Caenorhabditis elegans: one gene and its partners. The protein of the gene in region 3 interacts with the protein of the main gene of each other region in a pairwise test. Each region holds a gene or a part of one and is shown on either strand. Other genes may lie near its edges.

Region 1 (5,675 bases), on a different chromosome or scaffold from region 3:
GTAGTAAGCTTTGAATAATATAGATTTTCATACTGGAAGGTTGGTGCATAGGAAAACTGAATTACAAAATACAAACTTGTGTATATATTTATATATTTATTTTTCAATATTGGAACACAGTTGAAAAATTATGAAAATTCTACATATAAGCTTATGTGAATTAATTGTCAAGAACTTTTGATACTTTGTATAACCTTAACTGCCTAAAAAACGCCCATGTACATTACTCAACCGCTCAGTCAGAAACTGATGTTCTCACTAGAAACCAGACAAATTTTTTAAAGTTAGATGAACACCTTGTTGTTTTGAAAATTGATAGCGAAACACTGAAGTTATTGAAAAACTTTCAGAAAGTCTACATTTTTGTGAAGTATCAATATTCTTGACCCTGAAAATGTCTAAAGTCGGAGATATGTTTTCAACCAATTAATTCATCATCTACATTTGTATAAGGTTTTTGATGTCAGGAAATTTTTACTTTTTGCGATAATGTTGTTTAGCTTCATTCGAAATATTTTAATTATAACGATCACTGCGGTCTGCATAAACACAAATTCCATCGATACAAATTTTACGATGATCACAATGCACATCTAGGGAGCACTCGCCTTGCGATCGGTGAGAGTGATGACGATGACCAGAAGATGAGGATGACAAAGAGGATGAGCTCACAACCGTTCTCGTATAAACTCCTGATGCTGCGCCACAGTATCCATTGATGCAATACATTCCTGGACGACAGTCGTTGTTCATTCGGCAGCGAAGCGATTGAGTTTGGTAGCAAGAATTGGCTGGGATGCATTGACGGGAGTTTGAGTAGACGTGGCCTGGCAAGCAGGTACAAGATGGACGGGTGCAGTCAACTCTGAAATTATGTTTATTTTGTTTGTATCGTTCTGTTAATTTTTATTTTATAAGTTTTCATGCAATTGGGATGTCGCCTGAACATACATTGATACTAGGAACTTCGTAAGTAGGGCTAAATTAGGTACTTGTGTATTATACCCCTGCCATTTTGAAAATTATTCAAATTTCCATTTATTTATTTGTTTAAATAGAACGTGATACCCATTTTCCTCGTTAGGTGTTTTGTGTATGGTGTTTTCCTAAACCTAAAACTCCACACGTTTTTATTTTATAAATAGAAAAGTTAATTTTTAAAATGGCGGGGATATAATACACAAGTACCCTAAATTCGATGCTTAGAACAGAAATTTATCAGAGTGAATGTGCAATATGATAAATGTATCACTAATGTGCTAATAATCATGGAAAAATTATCATTATTTTATGGAAGACTGATTGTTTAAAGTTGATATATAGAGTCATCCAAGTTTACCGGTAATGAAGTATCCATATAAGAATTTCGAAGAGGACACCATGCTTTTCACAAAATGTTGTAGACTGTTTAATTTTAAAAATGTTTTTGTTCTAAGACTTCACCTGCATTGTGGGTTTGGAGATTCACATGTTGGTGGGCACATTTGAGTACACGGAGAGTATTGCTCATTGATTCCACAACTCACTTGAGTTGTTGTTTGATGGTATTGAGAATCAACCACCAGTACTACCTGTAAATATTATTGTCAAACTTTTAGAAACCTGGAAACCTGGTGTATTAACTTACCGACAACAAAGCTATTGGAAATGCAAACATCATATTTCAACTGATGAATCAGATTTTGCAGGCACATGTTAGTTTATATACCAATATCCTCATCTGGTCAGTGTAATTTTTTCATATTCAGTCACATTTTGCCATTTCATATATTTCATACCAAACCTTCGCATCATTAATCTTATGACACATGCATTGGCTTTTACAAAGACAGATTGTCTTCAAAGTAAAAAATCTCGAGACGCTTGGCCTTAAGCTCCCCACAGACTTTTTGAAGAAGATTTATGTAGCTTTCATGATTGGAGAATTCGAATTTAAAAAGGGATTGGCAATGTTTTATTGGAATATTGAATAATTCATGTAGTTTTATAATACAAGTTTAGTACAAATGCTTAAGAGCTTCTCTTTTGTCTGAGCACGTAGCTGGTGCAGTATCCAGATGAGCAGTATCTATTAGATCCGCAGTCCGAGTTGTATGTGCATCTGGAGTTGGATGATCCATAGGTGTTTCCAGAGCCGTAAGTGTTGTATCCGGATGAGCCACTTCCGTACATAGAGTTTGATCCGGTGGATTGACACATGTTGTTAACACATCTTTGATTGAGTCCACAAGTGTTATCATAAGTACAGTAATCTGGAAACAAAACAATGAATGTAAGATGTCAAGTTTACGGAATTACTAGACGCGATGTGGATAACGCAAAGGCCGTTAACACAACGTTCGTCGTTAGCGCAGGAAAGATTGTTAAGGCATCGTTCTGGAAAAGATGTGTGCATTAGACAATGGAATTGTTATATTTGTGAAATTGGGATATGTATTGTGATAATGTTTCTTACTTCCTGTAGATGAAGAGTACATAGCATTGTTGTAAGAGGTTCCGTATTGGGCGACACAAACTCCGTTGGAGCACATTTGTCCAGAGTAGCAGTCGGTAGAGTAACGGCAAGTGGATCCAGCTTAAAAAAATCCAAAATTATAGACTTGCTCTACTCTCAGGTAGACACGGTACACTTACAGTTAGAGTACTGAGAATTGGAGTTGTACATGTTGTTGGAATAGCTGCTTTGGCATCTGTTGTTCATGCATGTTTCTCCAGATCGGCAAGAGTACGACGTGGTGCAGTATGTTCCGGATCCAGTGGTACCCATTTGGTTGCCATACTGACTGTTCATGTCATATTGGTTGTTGTTGTTATAGGTGTTGGAGTAAAGTCCTCCGTTATATCCGAGAGAGCTCATGCATTGTCCATTAGAGCAAGTTTGGCCAGACGAACATTCGTAAGAGGAAGAGCAACTTCTGTCTGAAAAGTTTTTTATTTAACACTCTCTATTATATTACTCTCTATTATCTATTCTATTATCTATTATCTAACAACTCTATTATATTACTTACAAGAGTTGCTATAGCTTGGAGTTGATGAATAGTATGTGGCAGCAGAAGCAAGGCCAAAAAGCTGAAATTGTTTTAATTAAAAGGTTTTTATTGGATGGAAAACTCACTGCAAGAAGAATGGTAAACTGCATTTTAGACTTGGTGTGGTTTATCCCAGTCACCTCTGACCTTTTTATACTTGTCCTTTTTTCTAGGCGGTTGTTTGTCTTGGACTCGATAAACATGTGCCTGTGGCTCAGCGTCGTCCAAGTAAACACATGTTTTGCCAGAAAAATCTCCCAGTTTACAAAAAATGTCTGCCAAAGGGTACAGAGTCAATAAACGTTGATAAGTAGTCGTTGATAAGTTCACTTAAATTATTGACTTTTTCGTGTTGTTTGGCCCGAGTCACAAATACCGCTATGTTTACATTTCGCTTACACTGCGGACTATAGTTTTTTTTGTTTGAGTTAATGTTACTTATTATCACGAGAAACTAAATTAATAGATCGAGCAGATTCCGAGAATAGATTCTATCCGAAAGATTAATAAAGTTGTTCTATTTCGATCACATGCTTTTAGAATGTAACATCTGGAGTCACGGAATCTTCCGATATTGCTTTATAAATTCAGTTATTGTTATTTTACTCGGAAAGAATGATTCATTGTTCACACTCAGAAACCACAGATTGCAGTGACAAACAACTCCGAGAGATGTTTGTCAGGTAAGCGAAAGATTGGCAAAAACCGTTTACATTGTGAGCAAACTTTTTTTCGGCTCGATTAAAAAAAATGCAAGTACAGCCACCAAACGCGAATTTTTTTTTGGTGGAATCTACATGGAATGGAGTTTAGATAAATAAAATGAATCGATTTTAATTATTAGGTCTCCAAATAAGTTCCGGGTCAAAAATCATAACTTCTTTCGCCTTTTATCGATTTTCTTGGAACTATGGGAATTTATGTTATCAACTATGATCTTTCATTTTGATATGGTCACAAAAATTTTTGACCACTAGGAATTTTTTCAAGCATTTTCCTGATCTCGCTTCTTTGCAGCTTTGAATTGAGGTTTATGTGCGGACTTCGCTTTGTTTAAAATACATTGTAAGAAAACAACAAAAGTTTGGAAAAAAATCAGTCCAAAAATTTTTTTTTGGTCGGTGGTCAAAAATTTTTTTATTTTTTTCAAAAAATTTTTTTTCGAAAATTCTTGATTTTTCATACAAAAATGATGTAGTCATGTGTGAACTATTTTTACAAATACAAAACATTTTAACTAAGTTCGTCACACTCAAATGATAATAGAAAACATAATTTTTTCGAAGAATATTTTTGAGTTTTTTGAGTATTTCTCGAGATCCAATTTTCAAACTCAAATGTTTTGTATGTTTAAAAATAGTTTACACATGGTTACATCATTTTTATACTAAAAATCAAAAACTTTCGAAAGAAATTTTTTTTGAAGTTTTTTTGACGGCCGACCAAAAAGAATTTTTTTGGACGGATTTTTTTCCAAACTTTTGTTGATTTCCTACGATGTATTCTAAACATAGTAAAATCCGCACACAAACCTTAGTTCAAAGCTGCAAAGAAGCGAGATCAGAAAAATGCCTGAAAAAAATGGCTTCGAGTTAGGGCACTCCGGGTGGTCAAAAAATTTTGTGACTATTTCAAAATGAAAGGTCATAGTTGATAACATGAATTCCCAAAGTTTCAAAAAATCTATAAAAGGCAAAAAAAGTTATGATTTTTGACCCGGAACTTATTTGGAGACCTAATACTTTCACAAAAAATTCACGAAAAACCTTTTCTGCATACCTTTATGTCCGGCACTGTAATTAATTTTTGAAAATATTTGTTGACGTGCAACTGTTCATGAACTAGGATTGATAACATGAACTGTTGGTGAATTTACATAAAATCATTATATGAAAGAAAGGAGAAAGTGTGATTTTCATTTAAGAAAAAGCTTGCAAAACTAATGAGACCTGCATACTGAATAATATATAAATCTGAGAATTTTCTTCCGAGATGGCAAACTTTTGGGTGACTAGGGTTCTATGGAAACGAAGTATTCAAAATTTCACAGGATCCAGTAGGCATAGTGGGGTGTATCATAGGGGCAAGGATCAATAGTGACAACCTTTTCTCAACTAGTTTTTTGTATGCATACATGTATATATTTATTTTGCAACTGATTTCGGCCATAATTCACTGAAATAAATTTGTAAATATGCCAAAATATTGCTAATGTGCGGTGAAATTAATTTTATGAATGTGAAAGGCATTTTGTCACTGGTTAGTGAACATGATTTTTTTTTTGATTTTTTCATAACTTTGTGGCTTTCTCATCTCTCTATTTCATATATTTTGATATGAAATAGAGAGATGAGTAAGCGCGCAGAAAAGTTATAAAGGGGTGGTACAGGGGACCAAGTTTACCCTTAAATCGGAAAATTATGAGAAACACCAGACTTTTGGTGATATTCTCAAAAAAAAATCGATTTAGGATTATTCCCTCCTGTATAAATGCAATTTCAAATTTAAAAAATTTACTTTGTGAAAATTGTATTTTAGTACACTTGCTGTACGAATATACTTATAAAATATTGACTACGGTGTAGATGTTATTCTTATTTTTATACTCCCCATGCATCTATGTACATATGCCAACTTATTAGA
Region 2 (5,874 bases), 2.1 Mb from region 3:
AATTTGCACCGGTTATTTGCAAAAACTAAAATTAAAATCAAAGAGCATAAATTTTCAGATTTTATGGAAATTAATAGAATTAAATTAACACCACCGAAAGTTTTAAACTACAGTACTCTTTAAAGGCGCACACCACATTCTTGCATTAACGAAAATGTGTCGTGTCGAGACCAGGTACCGTACTTTTGGTTTTAAATTCTGAAAGTTTCGCGTCTGGGTAATAAAACAGTTCAGGCCAAAAGTTAACCGAATTTCAAAGTTTTTTCATCATCCTACTGTACTTATTTAGACGATTTCTAAACTTTCTTGAGGAGTACACTTGACATATTTTGTAAATTTCTTGCAACAAGGATTTCAAACAAAAATTAAAATAAAATAGAAAAATCTAGAAGGGCGCCAAATCATATAAGCCATAGGTAACAACATAAACACAACGTTGGCAAGCAGTGAAAGCGAAAAGTGGTTTCCAGCAATTTAGTCATCCCCTTCCCGGGCGGTTCTCGAATGACAGCAACGAAATATTATGATGGAATGAGAGACTTATACGTATATTACCTTGTCAAAAAGTGTTGGAAATATGAGAGAAAGGATAAAGTAAAAGAAGAAGAAGACAGAAAAAGAGTTTTGATGATTGAGTGGAAAAGGAAAGGTCTTCCGGAAATCTGTGCGTTGACGGTGTGTTGACCACCGAACAAACGATGCCAATCAGTCCGAAGACATATCTTTTCTTCTTTTTCGTCTCTTCAATTCCTGAATTCTTTTTCTCAATTAACGGAAACCGACATAATTGTACATGTACACAGATATGGAATCGAATCCATTCTCACTATTCCGAACACTTTCTAACGAAGAATTTTATTGAGTGTGGCGACGGATCTATAAGATTATGTGACATTGGTATTTGGAATAGGCTAAACATTTTTAGAATACTTTTTATTTGAAGTTCTTAGAAACCAAATCAATTTTGCGAAGGTTTGAATAAATAAAGCTCCAATTTTAATAAAAGAAGTTTGATATTCAAACTAATATTAGCTATTTACTAAAAATGGTGGAAAATTGGTGAATAATTATTTTGATTCAGAAAAGTGTTCATATGATTTTTGAAGTTTGTTGTCTATCCTCCCATCGTGTCTGTAAATGGCATTTAAAGTGGGTTTGTCGATAAAAAAGACAATTCCAATTTGTATCTCAACTTTCATCACTTTGAAAAAGCCGAATCCTCCTTGGGTTTCCTCTTCAAATGTTGCAGATTCTTCTGAATGGCATCATCACTTACGATTTTTTTCGTTCAATTTCGCTTTTTGAACAACCATTTTCGATTAGCGCATGAATTGAATCGAACCCGAGGTTTCCGTTTTTTGGTAAACATAAGGAAATACTAATTCTATTTCATTTTAGGGTACGTATTGCTGTAGATTGTAATTGTTTTAAACTCATGGAATTGGTATTCCAGTTTACATACATTTTCAGAATTTTCTCTTGTTTGATATAATTACTTGGATGAAGGATCGAATGTTCATTTCTACTATAAATATCACTAAATCAGAAAATTGGAAAAATAAAAGTCAAAAACTAAAAGTCTCGAAATTTATTGGAAACGATGGAACAATGAAAACAAAAAAAGGGAGGGCCGTACATAATATCCTATAAGCAGCATCGAGAGAAATTGACGATGTGCCTAGGATCAAATTAAAAAGGAATTTACCAAAGTTAAAGGGTCTACTCTCAACATACTCCTTATTGCTGGTTCGTGGCGGCCTTGATCAATGCTTCAGCAACCTGAAAAATTCCCTTGTTTTGAAACAAAACTTAAAGACATATTCATTTCAGAGAACTACTTTTATGACCCTCAACTTTATGTCCTGGTCTCAGTTTTAGTATCGAAGCACAGAATCATTTTGATAATAAAAATATTACGAAATGCTTAACTTTGCTGAAACCAAACGATATTCGTTTCTTGTATTTTTTTTTGGTTTTTAAAACTTTTTCGAACACTTACTTCAGCGCGAATTTGAGCTTCAGCACGAGCAACCTCGCTTCCTTCTCCGGAGGCTCTTTGGGCAGCATCAAGCTCGGCGCGGGCAGCAGACTCATCAATTTCTTCAACTTTCAGGACCTCCTCAGCAAGAACTTGGCATGATCCATCGATGTTCACGGAGAGGGTTCCCGAAGAGACGAAAAGGCGTTGAACTGTTCCTGAAAAATTCTTTGGTGATAATACAATTTATTTTTGCAAAATAAACCTTCATTTGTGGTGACAGAGACAACTCCTGGTTTCAAAACTCCAATGGTTGGGACGTGATTGGCAAGAACACCAACCATACCGGCCAAAGTTGGCACATCAACCTGCTTGACGACAGCATTGCTGAAGACAGCCTGTAAATTGATTTTCAAATAATGTTTTCAAATAATATTTACTCACGGTGTCTGGGGAGGCGAAAGTGAGACGAAGCTCCTCTGGGTTGGCGTTGGCAGCTGGAGCGGCAGCGGCGTATCCGCGCTTGGCAACAACCGAGAATCTTTGGATAGTACGAGCCAACATCTTACCCTCTGAAATGATAACATTGTTTGATTGATTTTTAGAAGGTCAATATGTGTATTAAGAATTATAAATGAAAAAATCGGAGGAATAGATTGTATTTGGGGAACAAACAATAGTAAAAATCGTAGACATATAGTCGAATACTTTTTTCAATTTTTAATAACGAAAATTAACTGAAAAAACTTCCCAAAACAGTTGAAAACAGAGATTTTTTGTTAAAAAAAGGTGAATAAAAATCGAGATCGCCCGTCGTCCAACGGAGCGTGTTTGCATCCCCTAATGGCTAGTCCGCGGCCATCGGGAAAAACTAGGCCATCTTGGCGAAGGTTAAAAAATGCCTGAAGATTTAATGAAACGTATGTTAAATATGAAACAGCGAATGTAATTGGAGATTTTCAACTAAGAAGCGTAGAATTTTTGATATTTATTGAAATGTAGCTAATTGGAATAATTTTTGAAATTATAGAACTATTACAATAGAGAAAACATATTTTTTAAATAAACTTTATTTGAAGACGTATCTAAACAGCAATAGAGTACACTATTGAAGCTACTGATTGAAAAAATCTTAACCATTAAAGTAGATTGCTCCTTTCTCGAATTGTACGCAGGGAAGAATATATGGAAATTTTTGAAAATTGTATACATGATTTGTAGGTTTCACTTAACTTACTATATTATTCACTACATTGCGTAGCATTTCGATACACTTTGCAAAATACGACTCATTTGAACATTTGAATAAGCCACGTGACTTTTTACGTGTTTCCTTCACCTGAAGCAGAACATGTGTGTTGGTGCGTTTTCTGCTGAATTGACTGAAACTTATCAAATATTTGAAGTTTGTTGCAACTGCGTGTCATTTCATAGTAATAGTAAAGAAATGTGATAATCCGGTTATCAATTGAGTAGAAACATGCGGGAAATGTATGATTTATGGTTCTTCTCAGTTTTCAGTTTTTATAAGTGATTGCAAAATACAGTACATACTGTAGATGTTATTGAAAGTTTGGCTTCTGGACAGAGAGGTCGCATGCTCATCAAGTGGATACCGGGAAACAGTAATAATATATCATCCCTCATTCTGCCCAACGAAAATTTATTTTAAACTACATAATAACCTTTTTGTGCAGTGAGTAAGTAGATCGACAACATTTTGATATCTCTAAAATAAAAAGAAGCTTCAAAATCATGAAACCGTGGAGAAAAAGTTTGCAACTGAAGATAAAAGATCATCATGACTAACTTTTGTGAACTTTCTGTTTAGGCTTGTGTCCGGAACTAAATAAATTCACCTGAAATCACGAATTCGCCATTAGATATTTAACATTCTATTAGAATCCTATTAAAGAAACACACACAGTTGTTTGGTCATTGTAACTAGACACATAGTCAATGATAAAGTTTGTGGTTAGGGTTAACACTCCTAATGCAGGTTATCATGTGAAAATATTACTGTAGCTACTTTTAAAGTTTGTGCATGCAGAGAAGTTAGGGATTGGATTTTTAAGACCTGCCTTTTAAAAACTATGCATCCAAAACAACAGATAATTCCGGTTTGGAGTGAGCAGCCATTCTTCTACAAGTTTCGGAGAGAGAGACGCAACCTTTAGGTAGGTAAAAAATTTTCTCAATACTATTGTAAGCATTCCACTTGTAATAAATTTCACCTAAATTGCTGATTAGGGTGAAAAATTATCAGCCTTTCTGTGGTACTGTAACTGTAAATGTTACGTTTTCAGTAAACTCAAGAGTTGTATTTTATTTCAGGATCTGCCGGAAGTTTTGAGTTTTCTAACTGTAAAAAGCCTACAAATTTCTGTGAATCAAGCTTGTCCCAGCTGATTTCTTTTAGCCATATCATGGTTAGTTTTGTAATTATTGTATTTTAATAACTCAATTCTTGTATATTGTATACAAACTTAAAACATATTAAAAATAAATTCACTCGAGATTCAAAATTATCACAAAAATCAAAATAAATGTACAATTGAACATGAAACAAAATAAATGAGATCCCATTAAAATATTGCAAATCATCGCGAAACAATTGAAATAGATGACCAACCAGCGGAATGAGAAAAATATCAAAAAATGTACAGACAAATATATATATACAATTCCTTTTGTAAGGGACAAGGAAATATAACGTGCTTATAAAAAAACAAATAAATAAATAATGAACTCTAGAATTGGAGCTATACCTTTCGAAAATTTCCAAAATATTATATTTACACTTTCCTAAGAATGTACAAGGAAAATATATCTTATGATGTTGTAGCCATGTAGTCATGTAGACACGTGACTAATGATAAGTGGATATCATTTAGTGATCCTTTTCTTGAATTGACCATACCGATTGTGTTCCGGTGTTGATATTTTGATGAGTTGAAGTCTTTGCATTCTTTGCACAGAGAATAATGTTGAATGTTTATGAAGATCCATTGATGTTGCTTCTCCATAAAAATATACTGGATGATGAATCATTGTTGAGTTTAAAAAGTAGGTCACTTTCAGACGAATGAAATTTCAGAGAGAAGAGCACCAAGAAGTCGGTGGCTGACTGACCGGAGAGGACATGTCGTTGACTTTTCGTTCCGACACTCCGCCTCTTTTCGGAACAAGGTCACGCCCCTATCAGTTTGCAAGAGGTAAGGAATGGAGACGAAGAGAAAATGGAAAAATGGGTTTATGCATAATTTTGAGATGATAGAGAAATCGAGAAACCTGAAGTTTAAACCACACAGAAAGAAAATGAATGAATTTATGAATCAGAGAGAAACACTGTGGCAGATAAAGAATATAAATAAATGGAGAGAAAGAATGTGTAAGAAAAAAGAATGCAGGTTTCAAGGGACAAAACAAGAAATGAAAAACGACAACACAACAACACAAATAATTGTGAAGTTAATCAAGGTTACGGTAGGTAGAAAGGTATGAGCTAAAATCGACATTTTCCAACTGAACTGTAACTCCAGAACAACCTCGAAATCGTTCCACGACTTGCAATACTGAAATTATCAAAAATAGCATTGTGTAGAAAACTAAGTTTTAAACATAAAAGTTCTTGGCTATGTTCAACCCGAAAAAAATAACTTGACTTAAAAGCTAGCTGGGAAGAGCTGGACAATTTATCCTAAGTTTGACCAAAACTTTTCTTGGCACACCAAATTTGTTGGAAACTTCTTTTAAAATATTTTTCTCCAAAAACGTACCATATTTGCTTTTTGAGCCAACTTTCTATCCCTTTTCTGAACAATGTTATGACAGGTTTGGTAATTGGCTGAGTAGCGACTCTCTTAATTCAAACAGTGATAGGGAGTTTTGCCAAT
Region 3 (10,337 bases):
CTATCCGCATCGAATGAAATATCACGTAAAACTGCTCCGACGACAAAAGGACGAACTTGAGCAGTTTCCTTCTTCACGATAATTTTTTGAAGACCAGTCTTTGGCACATCGGCATATTTGTATGCTGGTGATGGGATTTCTTGTTTGAAAATACGAATTGCTCGAGCCAGCCCTTCAACGCTCAATAAATCATAGCGATTTGCTGGAATGTCAATTTTGTATACTTCTTGATCATTCAAATCAGACGCAGCTCTTGTTCCTTGCTCTTTTTCAACAGCGGCTTTCTCAGATGTCTGCAAATAAAATATGATAACAAATATTTGAACCAAAACGTACAATTTCGTCCAACTCCAAGCCATATTCGAAACAGAGCTCGTCGAACTCCTTCTCCGCTGAAAATTTAACATTATTGGTAATACAAACAATGTAGTTTACTACGAATTTATTTTGATATCCGTTCATTGCTTTTACTACTTTAATTCCAGTAGCAACATTTTTCAGACTACACTGCTTTTTTTAGAAACTTACAATAGACTCGCTTGAAGTGCTTGTCAAGGATGACTTTCTTGATTCCCACAGTTGGCATTTCGCTGAAAATATAATGAATTAACTATGGAAATCTAGAGAAATTAATCAAGAAGACCGAAAAGAAAATAGGATTAATTTGGATTGTCGGCAAATTCGGTGTCCTTAGTACCAACCAAGGTGTACACGGTGACGCCACATTGCGGACAATACTTTTTTTGGAATTTAATATATTATTAATTAATAAATGGAAAAAATAAATAAATTTCTGGAAATCAGAACCTTTAAAGCGAAACTCTCATGTATTTCCATAGAACAGTCATCGAACCGAAATTCTCAAATAAAATCCGCTAATCCGCCTTTTATTGAGAGTCTGTTTGCTGAAGTTATTTTTTAAAAGTTAAACAATAAATTTATTTCCGGGAATGAAATAAGCGCTAAAAAACTGAAATACTTCCGAGCTCTTCCACGAATATCAATCAATAAATTAAAGTTCCAGATCAGTAAATTCTTCTGGTAATCAAAATGATTTTACAATACAAAATACATTTCACAAGCAAATAAAATTGAAGCATAGAGCTAAAAAATACCAGTAAAAATGCGGGTGTAAGAAATTACTCGTTATTTTCGTGTTATGCACTTTAAGGGGCAGGGATAAAATTATCAATGATTTTTGACTCTGTCCAGTGTATGACGAATGTTCGCCATTTGGTCTCGGCTCAATGTGGTTCTCTTTGGACGGATCATGTTTCCACGCGCACGAGTGATGGTTGCGTCTCCACGAGATAGAGGTGTTCCACTGAAAATTAGTTTTTTTTAGTTTGGCAAAATATGAGATGAGAGCTAAATTACGTTCTTTGTCTTATGAAACTTACACAATCATAGTATCCATTCTGTTTATATCTGTTGGAGTTATTCTACCTTCCTCTTGAACAGGACCAGTAGCTGCCATGGCTTTGAAAACTGCCATTGACGATTTAACGACATGAGAGAGGTTAAAGTCAATCCTCTTCTTTCTGGAACACTCGCCGACTAGCTCCTTGATGAGCTCTCCCATTGGATTATTTTTGAGATATTCCATATACTCATTCCAAGATCGGTCACTGGATGCAATGAGAATATTCAGTTGCTCAATATGTTTAACTGCCATCGAGGTATCACGCAGAATATTGTCGATCGAAACTTGAACGCCGCTTCGCACTACAACTGCTTCATCCTCTTGTGGCATTCTGGCTTCCAATGTTCCAGGCATGATAGGATCAATTTTTCGTTCTCTCATCATTTGTAAAATCTTGTTGATCATACTGGTCAAGTGCATATGTGGTCGAGAAAGACGACGGGCAGCATCCAAGACGACGTCTCCTTGCTGAAGGATAACCCGCTCCAAATAGTTATCAACTATCAAAATGTGTGAATCGCTGATGTCCATTTTAAGTTCTGTGAGTGCACAAACGTAGAAAGCATTGAATGAGTCGACTATATCCGAGGCTCTCAGTTGAGCTCTTCTCTTTTCAAGTTCATCACACCATTTCGACGAGAGCTTCGACACAAGTTCGGTTATACCGGTGTTCATTTGAAGTGATTCAGTCATTGCCAGAATCAATCCGCACAACAGATTAGACAGCTCAACTCTGTAGATTAATCGCATTGCCAGTCGATTGAGAGATCTTGCCATTCCGTATCCGGACTCTGTGTTACCGATTTGGATGATACATCTGAGGACCGAAGAGATGATGGCTTTGACTGTGTCGGGGGACGCATTAAGTGGCTCAAGGCCGTGCTCAGTTTCGACTCCTCCCATCAACTGAAAAGATAAATTTGGATATATACATATACATGGCATGACTAAATGAAACAAAGAGAGCCAGATATATTTCGGAACTCCCCTTGATTACTATGACATATGAAAAATATAACTTACAATGAAAAGCATTTGCGTACAAGCGTCCATAGTTCCACTGACATCTCGTCCAGCATTGAATTCTTCAATCACCAAATCTAATTGAGCAGCAGATGCACGAAACACCAAATCGGCACGTCGATCAACAAGATGACGTTGTTCAGGTTGATTAAGAACATAAGTGACCTGGAACATAGCATCTTGAGCAACATCTGCAAGACTGCTCGAAATATTGTTGATGCTTCTTTGGATTTGATCAGAAGTGTCTATGGAGGAAATCGACGATGAAGAATTGGTCCGCTTCATTTGGAAGGTATTGTTTGACCAGCCATTGACAGGTTGTGGTGGAGTGATGACTTGAGTGCCATCAAGACGGCCCATGGCTGACGAAAAGACGTCGTCACGAAGTGCATAGCGAGATGAAGTTTTTGGAGGCATTGTGTCTTGTCGTATAGTGAAGGTGTCGCTTTGAACTTCTTCTGGTTCAGGTTCACGAGTACGAGATCGAGAAGCAGGACGACGAACAACCGAACCCTGAAAAACATGTAATTTTTCGTTTTCTAAAAACTGAACGAAACTTCGCGTGGGTATCGAATAGGGAATCACTACTAACTCCAAATATTTGAGACAAAAAAAAATATTATTTACTTCCAACTCGTAAGACTGTATGGCCGATTCAAGTGATCTTTCAGGGAACCTGACTCATTACGAGAAATATTTTAAACAACTAACCTGTTGTTGTGGCACTAAAATTTTGGGTCCTCCAGTTGGCGGCGAGGTGACAACACCAGATCCCGGTTTCACTCCTGTTCGTTTTATTCTTTCCTCAACCAACGACTTGTCCTTATCTGCCATTCTTCCTGCTGCTTTCCACATTTGATCACCTTCAAATTTGAAACAAGCCACGAGAACATTGATAGCAGCATTTCGGACGTTGACATCCTTGTCACCAACAAATGGAGCAACTGTTTTTTCGACTGATAACGATTTCAGCGGACTTATTCCAGCATTTGTAATGTAGTATTCAATGACTAGCAGACACTCGGAACGTTGGCGAGCGTTTTTCGACTTCAGCGCATCTGAAAATAAAAATTACTAGAACATTATTGATCTTCTTCTCTCATACCAAGTAGCATGGGTGTCATCTTGAGTGGACCGACAACATCTGAAAGTACATTGACAATATCCCTGACAGAAGTTCTCATATTGTCTTTGGCTTCTCCTGTCTTCAATAACAAGTATGGAACAAATGCAGACACCTCTTCTTGTGACATTGGAGTTTCTGTATCCCGAATTAGCTCCACAATAACTTTGCACAATTCCAAAACTTTGATAAGTGCGGCCGGGTTGGTCTCGAAAAATCGCAAAGTGCACCATTTTAATAGAAGATCGCTGTTGGATAGAAGAGATCGAGGAGATGTATCGGCAAGGCGAACCAGAGAATCAAGAGCCGCAAGATGCTGCTTGAAATCTTTGTGGAAAAGTTGACTCATTAGAGACACTTTCGCTTGGTTTCCGAGCAGGGTTTGAAGTTGCGAGATATGTTCATCAGTCGGAGCTTGGAAATTCCATTTGACTAACTGCAAATTAATTAGAATGTATGATTATTAACTCATTTAAAGCAATTACTTTTAATTGCTTCTCTTCCTTGATTCGTTGCTTTTTATCCTCGTTGTCACTGAGCAAAAGTTCGGCTTTTGGTGCAACAACGGGAGGCTCGTTTTCTTCGTTCTCCTTCACGGGAACTTTCTTCTTCTTATCGCCTGGTGGTGGTTTCAGGGGCTGAAAAAAAAATAATAAAAAATTGTAAGTTTTCAGTTTTAAACGACCACACAATCGATACAAATTACTATATGGAAATAAGAACACAATTTTAATCACCTCATCCTCTTCCTCGACCACTTCCTCATCTTCCGGTTGTTTCTTCGGTGGAGCTGTTTTTTTCGGTGGTGCAGCAGCTGGCGGAGCCTAAATTTGACAACACATTCACAATAAAATTACAAATAAGCAGTACAAAAATCATCAGTGAATACTTCTAAATACTATCATTACTTATATATAAAAAAATAATTCCGTTTGTTCCATAGTTTGTAGTCTATGTAGTCTTTGTAGTCTGTGACGTCACACCCAAAGTCACTGAGAATTGTGGGCGGGGTCTGTCATCCTTCGCGGTGAGACTCATCGTGGCGAGACCCATCGTGGTGAGACCCATCGTGGCGAGACCCACCGTGGTGAGACCCGTCGTGGTGAGACCCATCGTGGTAATACCCACCGTGGTGAGACCCGTCGTGGTAAGACCCAAAATTTTGGCGGGAAATTTAAATTTTCTGTGAAAAATAATTTGGCGGGAAATTTAAATTTTCTGTGAAAAATATTTTGGCGGGAATTTTAAATGTTCTGTGAAAAATATTTTGGCGGGAAATTTAAATTTTCTGAGAAAAATATTTCGGCGAGAAATTTAAGTTTTCTGTGAAAAATATTTTTGCGGGAAATTTAAATTTTCTGAAAATTCTAAAATTCTGGAAATCTAGAATCTTCTGGAAATTTCGAAAAAATTCTCGAATGTTCCAGAACTTTCTAGAAAAATCGAGAAAATTCTGGAATGTTCCAGAACTTTGTAGAAAAATCGAGAAAATTCTGGAATGTTCCAGAACTTTCTAGAAAAATTGGGAAAAGTCTGGAATGTTCCAGAACTTTCTAGAAAAATTGGGAAAAGTCTGGAATGTTCCAGAACTTTCTAGAAAAATTGAGAAATTTCTGTAATGTTCCAGAACTTTCTAGAAAAATTGGGAAAAGTCTGGAATGTTCCAGAACTTTCTAGAAAAATTGGGAAAAGTCTGGAATGTTCCAGAACTTTCTAGAAAAATTGAGAAATTTCTGTAATGTTCCAGAACTTTCTAGAAAAATTGGGAAATTTTTGGAATGTTCCAGAACTTTCTAGAAAAATCGAGAAATTTCTGTAATGTTCCAGAACTTTCTAGAAAAATCGAGAAAATTCTGGAATGTTCCGAAAAATTGAGCTTAGAGCTTTAGAAGAGGTAGTTATTCGGGAGTTTATGGGGGATCAAGTCAAGGTACTGTAGTGTTACTATAGGGGTACTGTAGGTATACGGTAGGGTTACTGTAGTTTTGGAAAAATTGGCATTTCGTCCTTTGAAGAGGTATTGGGTTAGGAGTCGGTGGAGGATAATGTCAAGGTACTGTAGTGGTATTGTAAGGTTACTGTCTTGGTCAAAAAATAACAGAAAGTTTTCATACTGTCTGTGAATTTTTGAAACATGCATGTCGTAGAAAAATACATACATGTAACAGTGCCAGTAAACCGCGTTTTAAGTGTTTCAAGTTTTTTTCATGATGAGAAATTTTTTGAGTGATTGAAGGTATGTGTGTCAAATACTTTTAATGGTGCCAGGCGTTGCCCGCGCCGTAGGCGCGGTCAGCGGCTGGTTAATAATAATAAAATAACTCACATCTGCTTTGTGAATCGATTTGACCATTTCAGCAATCTCTGCGGGCCCAGCTTCATCCAACGCCTTCTGATGAAACTCCTTGATTTTGCTCATTTTCAGATTATCCGATGCAATATCGGCGAGAAGTTGCAGAGAAGGTTTTTCTCCAATGGCTCTCATCATTGCTCCCATTGCAGCGTATGATGCTTCACGAACTTCCGAATCCGAATCACCAGAATGTTTTATCAACGACGGGATCAGCGTCTTCAAAGTCTTCTTCGGCATGGTCTGTGAATTCAGTTTCATGAAGCATCGTTGAAGGAAAAGATCCGTTTGAGTCTTAATGCTTGGATTTGGTTTTCCGAGCGCTGCGAGTACGATTTCTCCAACTGCTTCGAGATTTGTGGTTGCAACAACTGCATCAATGCAAGCAACCAGCGGATCACGTAGAGTTGGTTTCTTCTCTTTGAACTTCTCAAAAATGATTGGAGTCACAGACACAGCAAACGGCTGGAACTTCGTACGGAGACCATTAGCAATACCAGTTATACAATTGGCCGCTAGTGCAGCCACATTGATATTTGCATCTTTCTCGAGGACCTTAATATTTGAATTTAAAATAATTTTTCAGGACAAAATACACATACCTTCTGCAATCTCTCAACGAGTGCGCCATAGTTTGCCTTTGGGTCGAGCTTCGGATTCGCTGTGATCAATTGAAGCAAACCTTCAAGCGCTTCTTTTCGTTCCTGCCATTTCTTGCTTTCGATGTTGGTATCAAAACCGTCGGGCATTTTGGAAAGTACGTCGAAAGCGTCAAGAAAATCCCAAGGATCGGCTTCCGCAACTGGAGCTCCAGATGAAACAACAGCAGTTGCTGTTCCGCCGGATGGATCTCCCGAAGCAGCACTTGCCGAAGGTGTCGAAGAAGTGGGAGCGACTGGTGGAGCATTTTTAGCTTGTTCTTCTGCGAAGCTAGCGGTTGATTTTTCAGCATATTCCCCAATCTTTTTCATTTTCCCTTCATCGGAAGAAGCATCGCCGAGGAGATTTTTAACGTTTTTGTCTCCAATGATGCGCTGAACAGCTCCTAAACCTTGAAGAGATGCCTCTCTGACATCTTGATCTGCATCGCCAGTCAATTTTCCAAACACAGGCACAACAGCTTTGATGAATCCTTTTGGTTGTTTTGCTGGAACCACCAAATCTAACTGCCGAGCCACAAAAAGTGCAGTCTGTTGCTTGATCTGAGGATTTGGTTTGGCCAGCGCCGCCAAAATGTCTTCCTGACCAGTTTCCAAAGATTGCATTGTACGGCCGACTTCATTGGAACAGTCTACAAGAGGTTCTCGGAGCATCGGCTTCTTTTCTTTCATTTTTTCGAAAATGACGGGAAGAAGTGGTCCTGCGAAAGAAGAGAATTTTGCACGTAATCCCGTTGCGAATTTTCCGATGCATTTGGCTGCAAGCGCTTGGCAATTGATGTTTGCATCTTTTGCTAGAACCTGTAAAATGAGATTGCAGAAATGACCGAAAAATATGAAAACCAACCATCTGCAGATGACCAATAAGTTCGGCATATGAAGCTTTTGTTGAAAGTCGCTCATTGTCCGTGAGTACTTTGAGAAGTGCTTCCAATGCCTCTTTTCGTTCCTGCCATTTTTTGGATTCTCGCAGCTCATCGAAGTTCGGTGGAAGTTTGGGAAGGATATCCACCTCGTCCAGATAATCCCAATTGGACATTATCTGAAAAATGACAGTTTACTACGTGCCTTGCAATAAACAAAGAAAGCGAACGAAAATAAGTTTTGAAGAGAAAGGAGATTTCAACAATAGATTTCCGGTGGAGAACGTAGAGGGAAAAAATCAATATTTTCGAACTGCGAGGGGTAATTGGGGTCACATGGAACTTTTTCGCCGCAAGCCCATTTTCGACCGATTTCGCAACCCGTCAAAAAGAAGCGCAAACAGAGAAACAGAGGCGGACGGGCCGGCTCAGTTGCACTACGCGGCAAAAAAAAAGAAAGGACAAAAAATCAATGAATTCTTTATACAACTTTTTGTTCGAGCCAAGTGAATACTAAAACACTACGCAGATAATAAATTTGATTAATTAGATAATGGAAGTGCTTCACAAAGAAACAAAATCTCAAAAAAAGGACGAAACATCTCGAACAAACGCTTAACACTGTGCGACAAACACTGAAAAGCTTAACTTGCGACGACAAATTATTTAAACAATTTAATGATGAGCTCACATGGGAACAACTGATATTCATTGAAAAAGTGCGAAAGCGAGAAGGTTTCCGTTGCGCTTTTCAAAACTATTTTCTACCGCGCGTTCGAATAAAAATGTCGTCAAGTGGCATGCTTGATACGCAACGCGCGCGTAAAACGACGGGGCTGTCAACTGCGTACTGAACAAGAAAGGAAACATTTTCTAAAAAGCTCTGTTAAATAGCGAAATTTGGTCTTAAAAATAATTAAAGCGCAACGAAGAAATGTTTATTTCAAAAATACGAATGCAAAATGAACAAGAAGTGTTTTGGAAGGGAGAATTCGCGCGCTTAAGCCATCGATCAAGGTCAATTTCAGATATGGAGACCGGGAGATGAAAATTTTTGATTTGTAACAAGACAAAAATGAGCCTACGCCTAAAAAACGCGTTTGAAACGCGAGAAAAACAGGAAATTTGGCGCCAAAAATGCTGTGCGGTCTCGACACGACAAATTTTTGATAAATGAAAAAGGTGCGCGTCTTTAAAGAGTACTGTTGTTGCAAACTTTGGTTACTGCAGATTTTCTATCGATTTCTCAAATACCGTATATTTCCTATTAGCGCTGCATCTTCAATAGTACTACAGTCTCTAATAATGTGTGTTTTTGTATATTTTTGATGGTTTCTTGTTAATTTACAAACATCATATTTATTTTCTGATAATACTGCAGTCTCTAATAGTGCTCGAAAGTTAGTGTTGTATGCAGCACGCGTAAAAAAAAGGGCCCGAAAGTTAGTGTTGCATGCAGCACGCGTTTATTAAACCTTTTTTTTTTGAATAAAAAAATCTAAATTTTAACAATTCGTGAGAAGAAGCATGAAAAACCCCTATGGTACTTTTGCTTATGTTAATTCGTGTTGTCTCTCGACGTGGATCTCACAAAAAAAACGTCCATCGTACTTCTTGGAGGCTCTTATCCTACCAACGGTTCCTGAAAGCTGGTGGCTTCTGGCGCAATATCATATAATTCACGGTGAACTCGAAGATAATATTTTGACTCTAAATAAAAATTTTCACATATTTTGTCTCATCGAAAATTCGTCTATAACACAATAACATACATATAAACATACGGTATAAAAGAAAACAATGTATCATGAAACAGTGTCAGTTGAGTCAGCGAAAAAGTCGTTCTTCTGACGATGTCGAAGAACATTCCATTTTTTGTACAAGTACGTTTTTCTTTTATTTCAAAACTAGACAACATGTTGAAAAATCATTCACAGTTTTCTTTAAAATTTCCAACGTAGGACATGACAATTGTTGTAGTATTTGATCCCAGTTACTTCGAGTTTCTTACGATTTTTTTCAAATAAAATTTCAGAGTCTTCCAATATTATTTCTTGGAATATGCTCAACTCATCTCGTGGCAAAATCGTTAATGGTTTTTTCCCTATTATTATCTCTAGCAATAATGCATAATTTCAGTTAAAACATCAACTTCCATCGGTTTCAGAAAATGCAACTAATACTCATTTTGGATTGACATGTGTAACCACTGCATTTTTATGTATTCTTACTTCTTTGATTATCGTAGATATTCTGTTCAAAACACATTTTACCTTCCGATATGTGGTATTTATGAATGTAAGTTTCAAGTTGGTTCGAGTATCACAGGAAAAGTTTTGGAAAATAACTGGTATTTCCGAAAATTTTACTGTTTGAGAAATTTCGACCAGTGGGAAAGGAACATCTTGAATGTTAAAAACAAGCAATTGAAACCCAATAAAAGCTTTTATAAAACTCGTAGAAAAAATACAAATTTTTGGTCGACTACCAATTTTATTATAGGTGAAACCTATTTTCCACCATTTTTGACTGTAGATAAAAAACGGGAAAAACTTTTCTCAAATTATATTTAGTATGATATTTTAACATTTCTCCACTATAAGAGCAATTTTTAAAAACTCCTCCTTAAGGCGCGCACAATTTTTTTAGGATGGGTCCCGCGAGAAAACAGTTTTTGGTAGTGCATTCTGACTTTAGCGGTGCTCGCATTGATTGTGTTTTTTTAAATGAAAAATATTTTTACGAAAAGAAATAATGCTTGCAAAAAAATTTCAGATAGCAGTTGTTGCGTGCGGTTTGTTTGTTACCGGATATCTACTGGGGCACATTGTTGAGATATGGTTTGCAAAAATGTCAACAATTTATTCATGTAAGTTTCTAATTATTTTGTTAGAGG

The links.
Region 1: the proteins of zyg-9 (region 3) and C53B7.3 interact in a two-hybrid assay, tested with the Caenorhabditis elegans proteins (one large-scale study listed by BioGRID).
Region 2: the proteins of zyg-9 (region 3) and F58F12.1 interact in a two-hybrid assay, tested with the Caenorhabditis elegans proteins (one large-scale study listed by BioGRID).

The regions. Positions count from the first base shown.
Region 1 is NC_003284.9:6,842,236-6,847,910, reverse strand, and holds C53B7.3 (DUF7107 domain-containing protein), read right to left. Parts: upstream 3,157-5,675; 5' UTR 3,143-3,156; coding exon 3,119-3,142; exon of another isoform or gene 3,073-3,118; coding exon 3,012-3,072; intron 2,920-3,011; coding exon 2,635-2,919; intron 2,576-2,634; coding exon 2,456-2,575; coding exon of another isoform or gene 2,377-2,455; coding exon 2,299-2,376; exon of another isoform or gene 2,253-2,298; coding exon 2,011-2,252; 3' UTR 1,936-2,010; downstream 1-1,935. Other genes in the region: C53B7.2 (TIL domain-containing protein), read right to left, coding at 517-865, 1,444-1,571, 1,628-1,660.
Region 2 is NC_003280.10:6,380,321-6,386,194, reverse strand, and holds F58F12.1 (ATP synthase subunit delta, mitochondrial), read right to left. Parts: upstream 2,551-5,874; 5' UTR 2,543-2,550; coding exon 2,423-2,542; intron 2,377-2,422; coding exon 2,244-2,376; intron 2,197-2,243; coding exon 2,000-2,196; intron 1,780-1,999; coding exon 1,738-1,779; 3' UTR 1,503-1,737; downstream 1-1,502. UniProt on the Caenorhabditis elegans protein: Mitochondrial membrane ATP synthase (F(1)F(0) ATP synthase or Complex V) produces ATP from ADP in the presence of a proton gradient across the membrane which is generated by electron transport complexes of the respiratory chain.
Region 3 is NC_003280.10:8,455,101-8,465,437, reverse strand, and holds zyg-9 (Zygote defective protein 9), read right to left. Parts: upstream 7,621-10,337; 5' UTR 7,618-7,620; coding exon 7,426-7,617; intron 7,380-7,425; coding exon 6,522-7,379; intron 6,475-6,521; coding exon 5,896-6,474; intron 4,394-5,895; coding exon 4,307-4,393; intron 4,208-4,306; coding exon 4,055-4,207; intron 4,006-4,054; coding exon 3,552-4,005; intron 3,505-3,551; coding exon 3,158-3,504; intron 2,960-3,157; coding exon 2,447-2,959; intron 2,330-2,446; coding exon 1,401-2,329; intron 1,325-1,400; coding exon 1,189-1,324; 3' UTR 926-1,188; downstream 1-925. Other genes in the region: fars-3 (Phenylalanine--tRNA ligase beta subunit), read right to left, coding at 1-293, 337-392, 529-586; F22B5.6 (Serpentine Receptor, class J), read left to right, coding at 9,295-9,324, 9,477-9,536, 9,581-9,739, 10,217-10,310. UniProt on the Caenorhabditis elegans protein: Plays a major role in organizing microtubules and spindle poles during mitosis and meiosis in one-cell stage embryos. Required for default nucleus positioning in oocytes.